Linked DNA regions of Oreochromis niloticus. The protein of the gene in region 2 binds, or shares a complex with, the protein of the main gene of each other region. Links are inferred from orthologs where the notes say so. Each region holds a gene or a part of one and is shown on either strand. Other genes may lie near its edges.

Region 1 (7,967 bases), on a different chromosome or scaffold from region 2:
AAATACATATAAATGAGGAAACTGCATAGTTTCTGTGGGGTGTGACAATAATGAGTATAGATAGACTTTCACATTTACTTCAAAACAATGCAAGAAAACCTAGACCAGCTGTAAGAGAAGCCAGCATTCTCAGAGAGGGAAAATAACCGGCTAAGTCGGCCAATTCACTGAGACCTATTCAGAAACTCGGCCTAAGAATAACAACCAAATCCTACAAATAATCATCTTTTGCTCATGAATGAACCATTCACAGTCAAGTATTCAAGAACATTACCATATACAGTTGTAGAAAAAGTTTGAGGACCCTTGAGGTTTACCAGAATTTCTGCATGAAATATTCATAAAAGGTGTAATCTTCATTGTGTCCCCTTTAGAATCATAAGGTCCAATCTGACACTTTTGTCAAACCTTACTTATTCTAATATTCTTATTCTCTGACAACTTAAAAATAATGCAAGTATTTAATTTTTAACTTTTCAATTGCAACTTTGAAAAAAAAGTGTTTCTGCAAAAGGATTCTTTAACTTTGCATTAAAAGGTGCTATCTACGAGCCAATAAGAACTTGATGACATGTTGAAACCAGAAAGATTTTGATTGGAGAAATGAAATGAGTCTGGTGCTCAGTTGGCTAGCATGAGGGTATTGAAATGTGTTTCTTTTTTTTTTACAATTTCTATTCATTCATTCATTTATTCATTGAAAAGATGCCACTTTTTTAAGCATTGTCTTGTCACAGAATGCATTACATTTGATTTAATCATACTTGTGGAGACTGTTACATTACTAATTGTACATTTTAAAACTAATTATAAGTTAACCATTTATAATTACTTGAAAATCTGATTTCACATGTTGTAAAAAGAACCTAATGTTTCCAAAGAAAAAAAACAGTTGGTAGAATTAAAAGGTTTATCTGCATTTCACTTGTTCAAAAGCTTTATAAATTTGATAGTGTTCAAGACTATAGATTTAAAATACATGTAGGGTGTGTGTCATAATCATATGTGAGTAAGACTTATTCCACATGTAATTTTTGCGATGTGGACTGCAAAAACTTGAAAACATAATATCTCAAAACTGGTTAGAATCCATAAAGAAACGTATAATTCTAAGGGGATGAAACAGCAGTTCATCCCATCAGGGATGACAGAAACTCAAAACAATGCGCATTTTCAGCATTCACACTATAATGTTCCACTAAGGCACACACCGGTAATTTTTAACCTAGACTTTGCTTGCAGAATACCTGCCTTAATGCCTCGCTATCTGACAAATATACTAACAAGGAGGATCCATTAATGTATCAGTCAGAAGAATAATAGCAACACTTTATCGACTTGTGCAACTGAGCTTTTCCATAAAATAAATCTCAGCCAAATGTAATCCACAGTCAGCACCAAGTGGTACAAACAGGAACTGCACTACTCATGTTTAAATTTTTAAACTCTAGTAACATTGCACCACATGGTAAATAGGTGATCAGCTGTTTGAACACTGTCCACTCATAATGCAGATTTGCAATGAGAAGTAAAAAGCAACTTCCACATAATGACATTACAAAATTGTGGTTAAAAAGCATCCTACTGGAGTCTGGACAATCATTAGTGATCAGATATTTTGGGTGTAAGGTTCAGTGGAAATTATGTCTTATCGGGCTATGTGCACATTCTGGTATGTTATCATTGCTGGAAAACCATGTCCTTGAGAAAACAAACCATCTAGGTTATCACTGGATTTCTTCCCAAATTTCCCCTTGCATCAAGAGGAAGCTGAATTAGATAGGAAGACGGATTAGTGTCCCTTTTGTGGAAAAAACTACTGAATGACTAACACAATCATAACAAAGCGTCAGACATCTCAGTTTTCATTATGCTTCTTTTTCATGTCCTGCCATCCCGTTTCTTCCTGTTCCAGCCAACAGAACAGGAGCAATAGCCTTCCCTGTGTCTGCTCTAATGAACAGGATAAAAGGAGTGTCTCCCAAACAACTATCTGCTGCGTGTGTTTACTGTAACGACCTGCCTCCATATCAAACGGGAGCATGTACTGTATCAGTGTATCACTGTGTGAGGGCAGGATTGTTGGCACGACCAAGCGGTGCTTCTTCCTTTTAGCATGACTGACACTGATAACAGCTGCCTTTGACAGCAGACCCATGCCTGCCATATCAACGAGCTATTACTTTGGAAAACTCGGTTGTGCTTTCATTAGCTTTTTGGTGAACAATATCACTGAGGTATACCAGCATCAAGCTCGCTGTTTAAAGCCCAATATCTAATAATATATTCGCCTAATTGTTAATACACCATATTTTCCATAACGAACATCCACTATATTTAAGCGCACGAAAATATAAAGCGAGCAAATCCCTTACAACTTCCCAAACTTTACTTGTTTCTTACTATAATCCTTTCGGTACGTTGCACATTCTATTCATTTATAAGTGACGCCGGCTGGTTGAAAGCACAGTCTATCAGTCCGAGTCGTATTGGGATTGATTCCCCAGTCCGCTGGTCAGCTAACGTAAGCTAAACTTTACTTGATAGTTTGCTACTTATCTTAGCCAGTTACCAGCTCAGCTAGCTTAGCTAATAAGGTAGCAGGTAGTCAATCTGCTATAAAAGTGCGCAAATTGTCCAACTTACCTTTTTTACTTTTTTCACATCATCCTCCATTTCTATGGAAAGATTTTCATCTTCATATTCACTTCAGCTTATAGACCCAGGTGAGACGTGAAGGTTTTAGCCAAGCACTCATCTAAGACCAGTTAGCTTGCTAGCCTAGCTTAGCCAAGCCTAGCATTGGCAAAGTGATGCCCGATTTTGAGCTGATACCAAAACGCCATGCTAATTCTTGTGTAACTCTTCAACCATTAGAAAAAATCCCGGTGCCCCACCATTGTGGAAAAAATGAAGCCGATTTCGTGCAGTTTAAACAGTCAAAGAAATAGTTTGTGAAGAAGACAAACTCCAACAAAACAGTCAAAACTTTTCAACTGTGCCGCCATTTTGGGCGTTTAACTGTAATCCAGGCCCAGCATGCCTTGCTTTGGTTTGCACAAACCAAAACAGGGCAGCTGTTGTGCTTTACAGCTGTCAGTGCTGCCGGCTGATGGGAGAAACCAACTTCACGAACGGAGTAATTTGCAATTAACTGCAGTGAAAAATGAATTATGGAAACACATAATCTCAGCTCAGTTTAGAGGGTGTTTGCGTTTTATATAACTGGTAGGTCTCTTCGTTGTTTTTAATGCTTTACGTTTACTGCTTCATATGTACTCCTCTTTGCCCGGGATTTATTCAATTAAAGTCGAGTTTGAGCCTTCTTTGTCAAAAACAAATCTCGCTGGATTTTTAAACAATACCCCACTGACGTGAAGTCATCAGAGATTAGATTGACTAACAGCTGATGACTCTGAGAGTTTTTAGTTATCCGAATTTTTTAAAATATTCTTCTTTTTTATTGTATTAATTCCACTGGAGAAAAGAGCAATGAAAGTCGGTGGAAACGAGAGAATACATGTGTGTCGATGAGAGGGGCAGTTGCAAAGGTGAATATGCACGAGTAGAGGTGTAGATATGAGTAAATATGAGTAGAGGTAGTTAAGCTGCTTGAGTTTAAATACCAGGGGTCAGCCATTCAAAGCAACAGGCAATGAACAAAATAGGGAAAAATGAGAGTACGGCCATGGTGTAGTGGGTGGAGGTGAGTGTCAGGGGTGATTTGTGACGCAGCTGTAAGACCTGCTATGATGCATGGTTTACAGCCAGTGGCACTGACAGAAAGACAGGAAGCAGAGGTGTAGGTTGCAAAGTTAAAGATGCTAAAGTTTTTGCCGGGAGTGATGAGGAGGAGCAGGATTAGAAAGGATTATATCAGAGGGACAGCTCAATGGTGGTACTTAGGCTCTGTTTTCCCAAACAGGTGAATAAAGCAGGTGAAGGCTATTCTTTGCTGTATTTTTTCTGTGAGGAACTGGTCATCAGTGATTTCTTTCTCTAATTAAATTTCCAGCGGTTTCTTCTCTTAGATCTTTGACCCTCACTGTACAGAATTATGTATGTATTAAGAGTGTTAAACAACTGTAAATCAAACATTTCTGTGTGCACAGAATTAAAGCTGTATACCTGTGCATGAGCTATGACTTCATGCTACAGGCAAATTACACAAGTGTCTGTGAATGGGCTGTCATCGATGGAAACGTCTTGACTCCAGTAGTTTAATATTTACATATTGATCGATTTTGGTTTTTTTTTAAAATGAAACATTTAAAAATGACTGAATTTATTTAGAAACCTAAAGGATTTAGAGAGTTTCTGTGAAGAGGAGTGGGCCAAAATTCCTCCTGAGTGACCAGCTATACAAGAAAAGTCTTACCTCCATCCTTGCCAAAAAGGGTTTCCCCACCAAGTAAGCCATGTTTTGCTTAGCTCCTTATGGGAAACTCAAAGTTGATGTGATTTTGCACAATATAAATAAAATGGAATTGAATTGCTTGGGGATCAAATACTTATTTAACTCAATAACATACAAATCAATTTTTACCTTTTGTGTAATGTGTTTTTTTTTTCTGGAGTGTTAGTTGATATTTTGCGTATCTCCATAAAAATTAAAGACTGTTTTTTTACCAGTTGTCTTTAACAGTCCAAGTTCAAACATGAAGATACACTTACTTGATTTAGTTGCAGTGGATCTGCAAAAGTATTGCATTTTGTCTTGTATTCCGGAGAGCCTGTTATTTTCAGCCCAGTATGAAAAATTGAATTACTGGAATTACCAAACAGTATATTTAAGTAAGGGTTCATTCTCAGGGTTCATTGCCATTGCAGGGTTTAAACAAGCTCAACTAAAGGATGTACATTTCTACTGTGAAGCATTTCTTGAACATACAGTTGTACTTACTGTTACTTACTAATCCCAACCTATGTGGGTCATGTTCAAAAACAGCTTTTCCTTTCTTACCCCAGCTGGTAAAAAAGTGAACCACCACTGTGCAATACCAAATTCTATGTGCAATAACCCAACTGTATATACATAACACTATTTATTACATATAACTTTTTTAAAACCAGCTTGTATATTTGTACATTTTATATATATTTCTTTCCCTCTGTTAATACTGTCCATATGTATATAGTGCTACAGAACTGTGCCCCCCCCCACCCCCAGCATGTTTGCACTGAGTAGGAGACGCTCTGTATCTCATTGTACAACCGTATAGTGACAATATTCTATTCTATTCTAAGTCCGACTGCAGTCACAGTCATCTGACAAAAATGTGAGACATGCATGTGAAGACATTACCGATATATAGTGCACTTTCAAATACTATATTTATTTTTCTCTTCTGGGATGAACAGTCTGATATATGAATCTACAGTAAGGCTTAACATTACATTTTCAGCATAATATTTCTCTTTTCATCTAAAAACCAAAACATACAAAAAAAACTTTAGCACCATATGTTATTAATAATATTCATATTGTTCCCAAAAATAGGGCGTAGGTACAATACTGGACATCAGTTTTGCTTCTTCTTCTTTTTTTTAAAGAATGGGGATTCCATGAAACAATTTACTTACATTTTATATTTAACAACAACAAAGAAATCATTCCTTATATGTACTCAATCACAACATGGGTCGTATGGGTCCACTTTCATAAACATGCTACATTTCGTAGCAAATTTTGAGTACTAACATTGTGCCAACTTTTGGAATACCCCGGATATACCATATAGCCTAGGGAGTATCCTGATAGATTTGTGAAATACACCAACAAGCTAACACAACCTATAAATTGATTGAATATAAACAAAGCAATATTTCCCAACACCTTTGATAACGATTCCAAAAAATCAGCAGCAATTAATATGACAACCATAGTCGCTTCGTTGGAATATCAAATCCATTTTCAAACAAAATATTACAGCCAATTCTACAATAACAACAGAAATAGATACACACAGATTAAGGACATATAGATGACAGGAATTTACAACACAGCAATCACGTTCTATATATATATATTTTACCCAAATTCCAGTAGCAGAAGTACATTTGTGCTCCTGTGTATTTGCTAAAAAGATGCATTTTGTCATCTGCCATTTTCATTCTGTCCGAAAAGAAAAAATCCTAGTGCAGACTGAATTATAGTAAAACAAAAACGTACTGTATGCGGAACCCAGTAGAATAAATCTTATATGAGCAGTAGAGTAACTATTGTTTTTTTTGTTTTTTTGTGCAGACTGGGAAATCAAAATGGCACCACTGAGAGCTGAGTTCTGCTGTAAACTGTGTGGATTTGAGGTGCTGGCTGTAGAGCATTTTGAGACTGCACGTTTGTGATATGCAGGATCTCTCAGTCAACTGGAAGGCTAAAGCCAAAGAGTGGACTCTTAGTCCACAGCGGTAGCACCTTTTTAAATGTATTTATTCAGCACCAGGTTATGAACAAAAACGTAAAGAAGGAACAAAAGTTTTTTTTAAAAAGAGAACGAAAATGCACCGTTTTTTAACATCTGAACATTCTGCCCCTGTGGCCAAACGGATGGTCATGACACAAAGGTATAGACTCGAACCAGGTCAAACACTACAATGGCCTGTTGCTACACATTAATGCAAAAATCAGAGGGTTTCTTGTGCAGTCGAGAGCACTTGCATGCTAAATGCTGAGGGTCACCTCACGATGAGTTATAAAGGCATGCTGGGAGGTGGTAGAAAATCCAGGAAATGAGGTTATTCAAAAGAGAAGCAGTGATTGGGCCTGTTTCGTGATCATTCCATAGTAAGAAGACGTAACAACTGATTTTTTGCGCTTTTTGTCATCAGTTTCTTCCACGTTGTATTCTAAACGCAGGCATTTTTGTTTTGGCTAGAGGACGTATTGTTCACACAAGACACAGAAAACGACACAGAAAGTTTACGCCTTGGCACTACAAATCATTCATAACTGCAAGACAGAAGAAGATGTAAAGGCATAGACGAAAGTACAAAAACAATCATTGGCCAAATCTTTCGGTATCTTGGCTGGTTATCTGCGACCGTGACTCTCCATCAAACACTTCAGAACTAACGATTTTAAACTGACTATTAACTGTTATATTGTTACTCGCCGAATCAGCTGTGGTTGGCGTCATACTCGAAAAGATGAGGAACCCTGGGTTCAAGTACAGAAGATGTTCAGTGTTGCCTTACTTTTTCTCCTGTGTCTTTGACATAACCAATTACTGGGTTTCACACAATACCCATCACTTGATTCTGTCACACATTAAAGTCCAGATGTAACATCATAATGAGGAAACAGCGCAGTCCTCAAGATGACATCTTAGATGAAACTGTAAGACTAAATAGCACTGTCAACGGAGGTGTTAGCTCACAGAATTGGGAACCTGGCTTGATCTGGTTTAGGGGGGGGGAAGGGGTCACAGACAGGAAGAATATTGTTTGGTGTTATCATCTTGGTGGGTGTGCTGGCACATGAAACAAGTAAAGAAAGACATTGGCATTTGTTGTTTGCGGACCTGGCTGCCATGGCTGGTTCGAAGCACCCAAAGTAACAAGGCACAACAAGGACTGAGAAGAGCAAGCTTTGCTGTTCAAATCCTCTTGCTGTGTTTTGTGGCTCTCGGACGATGTGGTGTTTGGAAGGTAACCTAACAGAAACTGTCCTGTGCGAGGGATTTCTCTGTGACCTTGTTTATGGTATAAAGTGTGGCAGCCTGAATGCTACACGAAATAGTATACTTCCTCCTCCCGCTTAAACCTGTGTGTAGCTTAGCTCTTGAGACCCGTGTATAATTGAAAGAAAAATACATAAAATCCGCTTATTATCTGGCTTCTAGCTAATCATTGTTACTAGTTACAGAATGTGACAAAGTGGTGATTGCTCTGTAGAAATATGTAAAATATACTGCATGTTCTATAAAAATCCAGAATTGTACATATAGACTCTTTGTAATTACTTT
Region 2 (7,923 bases):
AAGCAGCTTCCTGCTCACGCTGTTTACAATGGGGATGGAGTTCTGCTGACCTCAATAGAGGATATAGTCGCTTCTCAAGCCCACTGACACACCTTCTGTAGTGGAAGCAAACTCTGGGGACAAGGAGGGGTGACTGGCCCATTACTGTGACTGATTTAGTGAAGTAGTCAAAAACTCTTTAGAGGTCGAGCCCCTGGAGTGGATGAAATTTGCCCCGACTTCCTTAAGACTCTGAACTTGTGGCTGTCTTGTTTGACATGCTTCTGCAGCATCACTTGGAAGTTTAGGGCAGTTCTTCTGGCCCTTTGTTGCAGATTCTGTTTATGACTTTTATGGATAGAATTTTTAAGGCATAGCCACATGGCAGAGGGCTTCAGCTATGGCAGTCTCAGGATCACGTCTCCGCTCTTTGCAGATGATGTGGTTTTTCCGTCCTAATCAGGCAGTGATCTCCAGCGTAACATGGGTTGGTTTGCAAGCAAGTGTGAAGTAGCTGGAATGAGAACCAGCACCTCCAGGTCTGAATACATGAACCTCAGCCAGAAAAGGGTGGAGTGCCGACTCCAGGCCAGGGACGAGTTGCTGCCCCAAGTGGAGGCATTTAAGTAACTCGAGGTCTTGTTCGCAAGTGATAGACACACAGATTGGCTCAGTGTCTGTAGTGATCAGGGTGTTTTGGTGAATAGAGGGCTGTGTTTGAAAGCACAGATCTACATTCCTACCCTCACCTATAGTCATGACCTCTGGGTAGTGACCAAAACAAATAATGAGATTGCAGTGGAAATAAACTTCCTGACGCTCTCCCTTATTGAAAAGATGAGGAGCTCAGTGATTTGGGAAGGACTCACATTAGAGCCACTACTCCTCCATATTGATAAAAGCCAGTTGAGGCGGTTTGGGCATCTAACTAGAATTCCTCCAGGTCCCATCCTAGGAAGGTTTTTTTGAGCATGTCCAAACTGGGAGAAGGCTCCAGGGTAGAAAAAGCATACACTGGAGAGATAATGTCTTGGCTGACTTGGAAATGCCTCAGCAGTCCCCCAGATGAACTGGAGTAGGTGACCAGGGAGAGGGAGGCTTAGATGGCTGCCCACGCAACCCGAACCCGGATACACGACAGAAAATGGAACAGAATGGAATGACACACATGCTCGAGGAAGATAAGCTATTAAATTTAGTAAGCACAGCTGTTATATATTCACTATGGAATATGAATTTAAATTTTTTCTCAATTAAAAAGGTGGAAAGCTGGATGGCATTTTCAACCCTGACTGATTAAGACAAGAGGTCACAGACAAGTCCTTTTTTAATGGAAACTTTTAGAAAATATTAGCAACTACAATCTATATTAATTTTCAATTCCCCCCAGCTTTTTATACCGTCAATTTCTTAGACTTTATTCAACTAATTCAGCAAAACAAATAATTTCAAGGACATAGCCTATTCAATAATGATAATAATAATGATAATAATAATAACAATAATAATAATAATAATAATAATAATAATAATAATAACAACAACAATAAAACCGACCCACGTAAATAATTAGAAAAGCTTACATTTCTGTTTTTGGCAGACAGAGCTAAAAAAAAAAAAAATATTTCAAATATATAATCCCGACACATTTTTTCCCTGTCGACTGAACACAGCGCATTATTTACACCTGTCACTACTCTCAGGTGTAGCTCACAACCCTCACCTGTAGTCTCAGCAGGTCAGGTCAGGACCGAGGTTCTCCCGCGTACAGCCGACTGGTCACCGTAGTCTAGCGGCAGGAATGACGCAGTAGGTCCAGCTGTTGTTAACGTCCATTAGTGTCCTCGGTCAGACCAACACACCAAAGAGTGTGAGTGAATGTAAAGGTGCCATCGGCGGGGCTGACCCCCCCAGGTACCAGGGCTTGTCTTCTTTAACGGAAAGTTAGATCACACACACAAACCGATTCTTTCCAGGTTGTAAAAACAAGCACGGTCACATGAGGCAGCTGTAAGCCTCACAGAGAAAATGTTCCGATGGGAAAACCTACATCAAACAGCTCCAGCTGTGGCCCAGAGGCAAACTTTTGCGCCGTTGTAGCCTCGGATCCTTGGAAAACTTAAATTTCCAAAACATCTTTAGAAGTCACACTAAAAATCGATGAATTTAGAAATGTATTCAGAGCCGTGTCCCATTACAGTGTTAAATACGAACAAAAACTGCCAAACCAAAGTGTAACAGTAACCGTATGGCCTGTATGAAATCCATTTGTGGGTAGCAGCTCGCCAGAGGAAAGACCGTACGATTTCCGTGATTCTGATGGCCTCTCTTCCTGCTAAGTTTGCAGATTTCCCTCGACCGTGGTTCCAGGTTTGAATCCAAAATATTCTAGGCAGAAGATGTTTTTATTCTCATTGCTGCATTGCACATAACTGCATCGCATTGCAACGTGAATGATGATATAAACATAATCAGGCAAGAACACACGAAGGCCGATCTGGCCTATAAAAATGTGCAGATGAATTTAATTGAGAGAGCACCGAGCTGAGTTCAGACTTAAAAATAACACAGACTAAAGGGACATTGGCAGAAAAAAGTACTACCTTTGAGTTTATTATATACTTTAACCAGATGCGTTATGTCATGCGAAGCCAAGTAGGATAAAGTCCATCGATGTTTAGACTTCGCAGGGCTGCAGACTCTAAAATTGTAGATCCTGGAGTATTCATATAAACAGCAAACTGATATTTAAAAACAAACAAATAAACAAAAAAAAAAAACATAAATTAGACGAGCTCGGTCTGTTTTCAGCGACAGTAACAAAGATGTCGTTTGTTGAGAGGAGCCAGCGGTCGTCCACAACTTTTCCGAACCAAAACAAAGCAAGAAATAATCTTCAGCTGAATACGTCAAACTTCCTGACAGAAAAAATATCGCCACCGGAACCAGCTTTTATGCTTCCAACAAGTCATGAAAACGGCTCGCAAAGGTTGTATCCATGTTTCCCAGATGCTTCACTGTCCGCCATCCAAACGCTGGTAATAACGATGATTTATTCCCGGGGGGATTTCTGACTCCTAAACTATCTAAATTAGAGCCGTGCAGCCGCGGGGACGCGCTGTTACTCGGTGGAAGTCTTCTTTCTGGAGCGCGCACAATATTATTGGAGGGGCGGACCAGCTGTGACGTCGTGAAGCGTTTGCTGCCGTGAAAAAGAGTTGGAAAATCCGAAATTCACAGCTTTTAACTTAACAGTCCTCATCCGTCTAAGTCATCCAATGTTTTCCTTTAAGAGTGAACAATAACGTGCATTCCCTAATTGAATTTAAATGACACGTTAGAATAATCTAACGTGAAGTATTTGAAGTCAAGTATTTTCATTTTATTTTGGTTTCAGCAGTACTGGACCTGGAGGGAGTGGAATACTTATGTAAAAAGGTCAACGGGTTGTACTTCATTATATCATAGGATTATTGTTGCGCGGCATGTATTTGAAACATTTATTGCGCAGTGTAATGCAACAATTATACAATATATGCAATTTATCTAAAAGAATCAGAAACACGTGTGCGCGCGCACACACACACACACACACACACACACACACACACACACCAGTCAAAGGTTTGGACACACCTTTTCATTTAATTGTTTTTCTTTATTTTCATGACTATTTACACTGTAGATTCTCCCTGAAGGCATCAAAACTACAAATGAGCACATATGGAATTATGCAGTAAACAAAAAAGTGTGAAATAACTCAAAACGTGTTTTATACTATAGATTCTTGAAAATAGCCACCCTTTGCTTTGATTACTGCTTTGGACACTTTTAACATTCTCTCGGTGAGCTTCATGAGATAGTCACCTGAAACGGTTTTCCAACAGTCTTGAAGGAGTTTCCAGAGATGATGAGCAGTTTTTTGCCCTTTTGACTTCACTCTGCGGTCCATCTCGTCTTAAATCATATAATTTGGGTTTAGGTCAAGTGACTGTAGGGGCCAGGCAGCAATCCATCACTCTCTTTCTTGGTCAAATAGCCCTTACCGACCTGGAGCTGTGTTTGGGGTCATTTTCCTGTTGAAAAATAAATGATGGTCCAACTAAATGCAAACCGGATGGGATGGCATGTCGCTGCAGGATGCTGTGGTAGCCATGCTGGTTCAGTGTGTCTTCAATTTTGAATAGATCCCCAACAGTGTTGCCAGCAAAGTCCCCCCACACCACTATATCGCCTCCTCTGTGCTTCACAGTGGGGACCATGCATGTAGAGACCATCCGTTCACCTTTTCTGTGTTGCACAAAGACACTGCGGGTGGAACCAAAGATCTCAGATTTAGACTCATCAGACCAAAGCACAGATTTCCACTGGTTTAATGTCCATTCCTTGTCTTTCTTGGCCCGAACAAATCTCTTTGTTTGTTGCTTTTCCTTAATAGTGGTTTCTTAGCAGCTATTTGACCATAAAGCCCTGATTCGCACAGTCTCCTCTAAACAGTTGATGGAGAGATCTGTCTGCTGCTGGAACTCTGTGTGGCATTTATCTGGTCTGTAACCTGAGGAGCTGTTAACTTGGGATTTCTGAGGCTGGTGACTTGGATGAATTTATTCTCAGCAGCAGAGATGACTCTTAGTCTTCCTTTCCTGGGCTGGTCCTCATGTGAATCAGTTTCATTGTAATGCTTGATGGTTTTTGCCGCTGCACTTGGGGACACATTCAAAGTTTTACCAATTTTCCAGAGTGATTGACCTTCAGTTCTTAAAGTAATGATGGACTATCTCTTCTCTTTACTTAGCTGATTGGTTCTCGCCATAATATGAATTCTAACAGTTGTCAGATAGGGCTGTCAGCTGTGTATTAACCTGACTTCTGCACAACACAACTGACGATCCCAACCCCATTAAGAAGGCAAGAAATTCCACAAATATACCCTGACAAGGCCCACCTGTGAAGTGAAAACCATTTCAGGTGACTACATCATGAAGCTCATTGAGAGGCCAAGAGTTTGCTGTGCTGTCAACAAAGCAAAGGAGTGGCTACTTTCAGGAATCTATAATATAAAACATATTTAGAGTTATTTATGATTTTTTTCTTTGCTACATAATTCCATATATCTTGCTTCATATATTTGAACATTTATATATTCAAAATCTGTGACTCAGCATTTTGAGTCTATTTTGTATTTTTGATTTCTTATATTATATTGAAAATTAAGTTCTTGTGTTGTTGTTATTATTAGTTAGGATTTAGTTGAGTTTTAATCTTGTTTTTGTTTCACCTACATTTCCTGAGTTATGAGTCTTTTTCTGTCCTCTATGTAGTTGTCTTGTCCTTAGTGTTTTACCTTTAGTTATGCCCGTGCTCTCATCTCCTTTATCCATTCTTATGTGTCTCTTCTGGCGTTCCATGTCTCCCTAGCCTGTCATATGTCTTATGTCTGTTGTGTGTTCCATATTGCCAAGCTTGTGCTGTCATGTCTACATCTCTCAATGTTTCCTGTTTTATTTTGAAGAGTCGGGTGTTTCCATGTTCATTGTGTTTTGTCATTATGTTCATTCCAGTCAGCTGTTTTCCCATGTGTTTCCACTTCCCCTGATCACCTCTTGTGTGTATTTAGTCTGTGTGTTTTCGTTCAGTCTTTGTCAGGTTGTCTGTTTTCCTTCCTCCACATCAGGTTTTAAGTGTTTTCCATGATTCTGTTCAGGGCATGTTCATGTTTCAAGTTCACGGTTTTTTTTTTTTGAGGGGTCCTATACCTTCTCTCATGCTCCTGCTCATAATCATGTTCATGTTCTCTTTGGTTATAGCTGTTATAGTCCAGTCTTTTCAGTTTAGGTTTTAGTTTTGTTTTCGCTACTGTTTGTTTTGCTTTGGATTTTGTATTCATGTTTTTCAGCCAAATAAACGGCTCACTTTGTCTTAAACTTAGTTCGTTTTCTCCCGTCTCTGATTTTGGGTCCGTTCCTTTAACACACCGGCTTTGCAGCCGTGACAGTTCTATATTCATAATCAGAATACTTTGTTAATTCCAGATATTTTGTGGTCAAAGTTGCTCCAGTAAGAACAGTAACTAACTAAGCCACATTCAAAAACAAAATATATTACAAAATATTACAAAAAAGCTGTAATATAAATCTAAATGTTGCAGAGGAAGATGGGCAGTACTTTTCACTGCACTGTATTGGAATATAAGTGTAGTGTATCAAGTACTTCAAAGTTGTACTTAAATGTAACCAATTACCTTTTGGATTACTTCCATTACAGCTAAACTTTATTAGATTGAAGTATTTCACCACAAATAAAATGCAAATAAAGACAATGTAAAACTCAGTGTGTTAAATCAACACCAGCATTTTATTTATTTATTTTTTTCCAAAAGCATGTAAAAAAAAATAAAAACAAAAATATGCACAAATGATTGTGTATATTGGCGTAGAAAGAGGGCGCTCACATTTTAAAATGTACCATACTACAACTAAGCAAGAGAGAGGAGGAGGAAGAGAGGAGAAAGACTGCATACAGTCCAAGCATCCTTTTGCTGTAAGGCCACCTCAATCCACAGGTCATGTCTGTAATATAGAATACACTTTCAAAGATGCATACATTTAAAATGTCTTGATGACAACGGCAATAAAAAAGGAATTCCACATCAAGTGTAGCACAGAAATGAAATGATTCACAGATTTAACAATAAAACGTCACACTGCAATCATTCACCTGAGCCTTGTGGCACCAGTGTAAAGTGTACCTTGTCTGCTCTATTAGACTTGGACATTGCAATTCACAGATTTTGCAGTTGTACCTTGGCGAACTGCTAACAGAGAATGACAAACACAGCATTTTTAGATACAATTCTCTTGATTTTTAAAGCATTCTCTGGGATCCAGAGGGCCGTTTTAAAATGACATAAAGAAAACATACATGTTCACACATAGTAGAATTAGAACTTTTGTACATGTGAATAAAGATGGTTAGGTGGGGAAAAATGGCTGCTGGTTGAGTGAAGTAATCCTTTGTTAAAGAGTTGGACTCTACAATAACCAGATCTGTTTTTAAAAAGGCATGATCACAAGATTTTGTTGTAAAGATCTGTGCATTCAAAGGTGTTTTGAAAAAGCAATAAGGTCAGCTCTTTGTCTTCTAAGGCTTCTCTTTAAAAAAAAAAGTCCATCTGTTTTGCTTCCTATTCTGCACAACAAGCTCAAATTAACAGTAAACCTTCAGTCACAGAAAGTACTTTGTGCCATTCAAGTGTCAGTGGTATTTTCTAAAATGTGATGATTTAATGGCTTTGGAGTTATCCTTTGTACAGAATGAAATAAAACCATGGAAATCTACACTGAATTAATTGTTCTTACATGTTAAAACTAAATAAGATCAAAAGAAGCTGTTGGCTCGGCTAGCTGCTGATCCTACTCAAAAACTTGAAAATAAAAGGCTATACTCAAATCATGGGCAAGTTATAGTTTTATCCTCTCATGTGAGATGCTATTGTCACACTTTTCCCAGCAGGGGGTGCTCTGCACTGGCTTTTGCATGCAGCCACACATCAAGGTGCCCATATATGTGACAAACTATCCATCCATCTATTGTAACATTGTAACATTTATATTAAGAAATAGGTCCAGTTGCATTTAGCAAATAAGACAGGAGAACCAGAAGGCATTAACTGAAAAAGGACTCAGGGGTTCAGGACAGAGTGACTGGATGTTTATGTCGCTATAATACAGCTTTTAAAACTTCATCACAAGACAACAACAAGCTGACAAGCATGAAATTATGAAGCAACACACTGTGAGACCTAAGCTCTGTCCATCAACATCCTCATTTATAGCATACATGCAATAATCAATTTATCCAGGTGTTTACAATTCCTCTTAAAATGTGTCATAGGACAGATGGAGGGATGTTTACATACTAAAGCTCAGCTTCCCTGCCATAATT

Evidence for each region. Proteins that work in one complex are often made in the same cells at the same time.
Region 1: the proteins of map3k3 (region 2) and ccm2 are in contact, whole or in part, in a crystal structure (PDB 4Y5O), measured with the Homo sapiens proteins. The link is inferred for Oreochromis niloticus from reciprocal best matches to the Homo sapiens genes MAP3K3 and CCM2. Residues at the interface, in NP_002392.2 of Homo sapiens: Asp2, Glu3, Gln4, Ala6, Leu7, Ser9, Ile10, Met11, Asn12, Asp13, Leu14, Val15, Ala16, Leu17, Glu50, Asp82, His84, Met86, Asn88, Glu89, Leu90, Ser91, Ile92, Leu93, Arg117, Leu119, Leu121, Ser122, Gln123, Asp124; in NP_113631.1 of Homo sapiens: Leu299, Tyr302, Met303, Leu306, Arg307, Ser312, Gln313, Ile315, Gln316, Gln317, Phe318, Ala319, Ala320, Leu321, Leu322, His323, Glu324, Arg326, Glu333, Ile336, Asn337, Gln340, Leu341, Leu353, Phe356, Pro358.

Annotation. Positions count from the first base shown.
Region 1 is NC_031980.2:8,442,209-8,450,175, forward strand, and holds the start of ccm2 (cerebral cavernous malformations protein 2 homolog), read right to left. Parts: upstream 3,062-7,967; 5' UTR 2,677-3,061; coding exon 2,647-2,676; intron 1-2,646. UniProt on the Homo sapiens protein: Component of the CCM signaling pathway which is a crucial regulator of heart and vessel formation and integrity. May act through the stabilization of endothelial cell junctions. May function as a scaffold protein for MAP2K3-MAP3K3 signaling.
Region 2 is NC_031969.2:28,854,161-28,862,083, reverse strand, and holds the start of map3k3 (mitogen-activated protein kinase kinase kinase 3), read right to left. Parts: upstream 3,120-7,923; 5' UTR 2,583-3,119; intron 2,368-2,582; 5' UTR 1,703-2,367; intron 1-1,702. UniProt on the Homo sapiens protein: Component of a protein kinase signal transduction cascade. Mediates activation of the NF-kappa-B, AP1 and DDIT3 transcriptional regulators.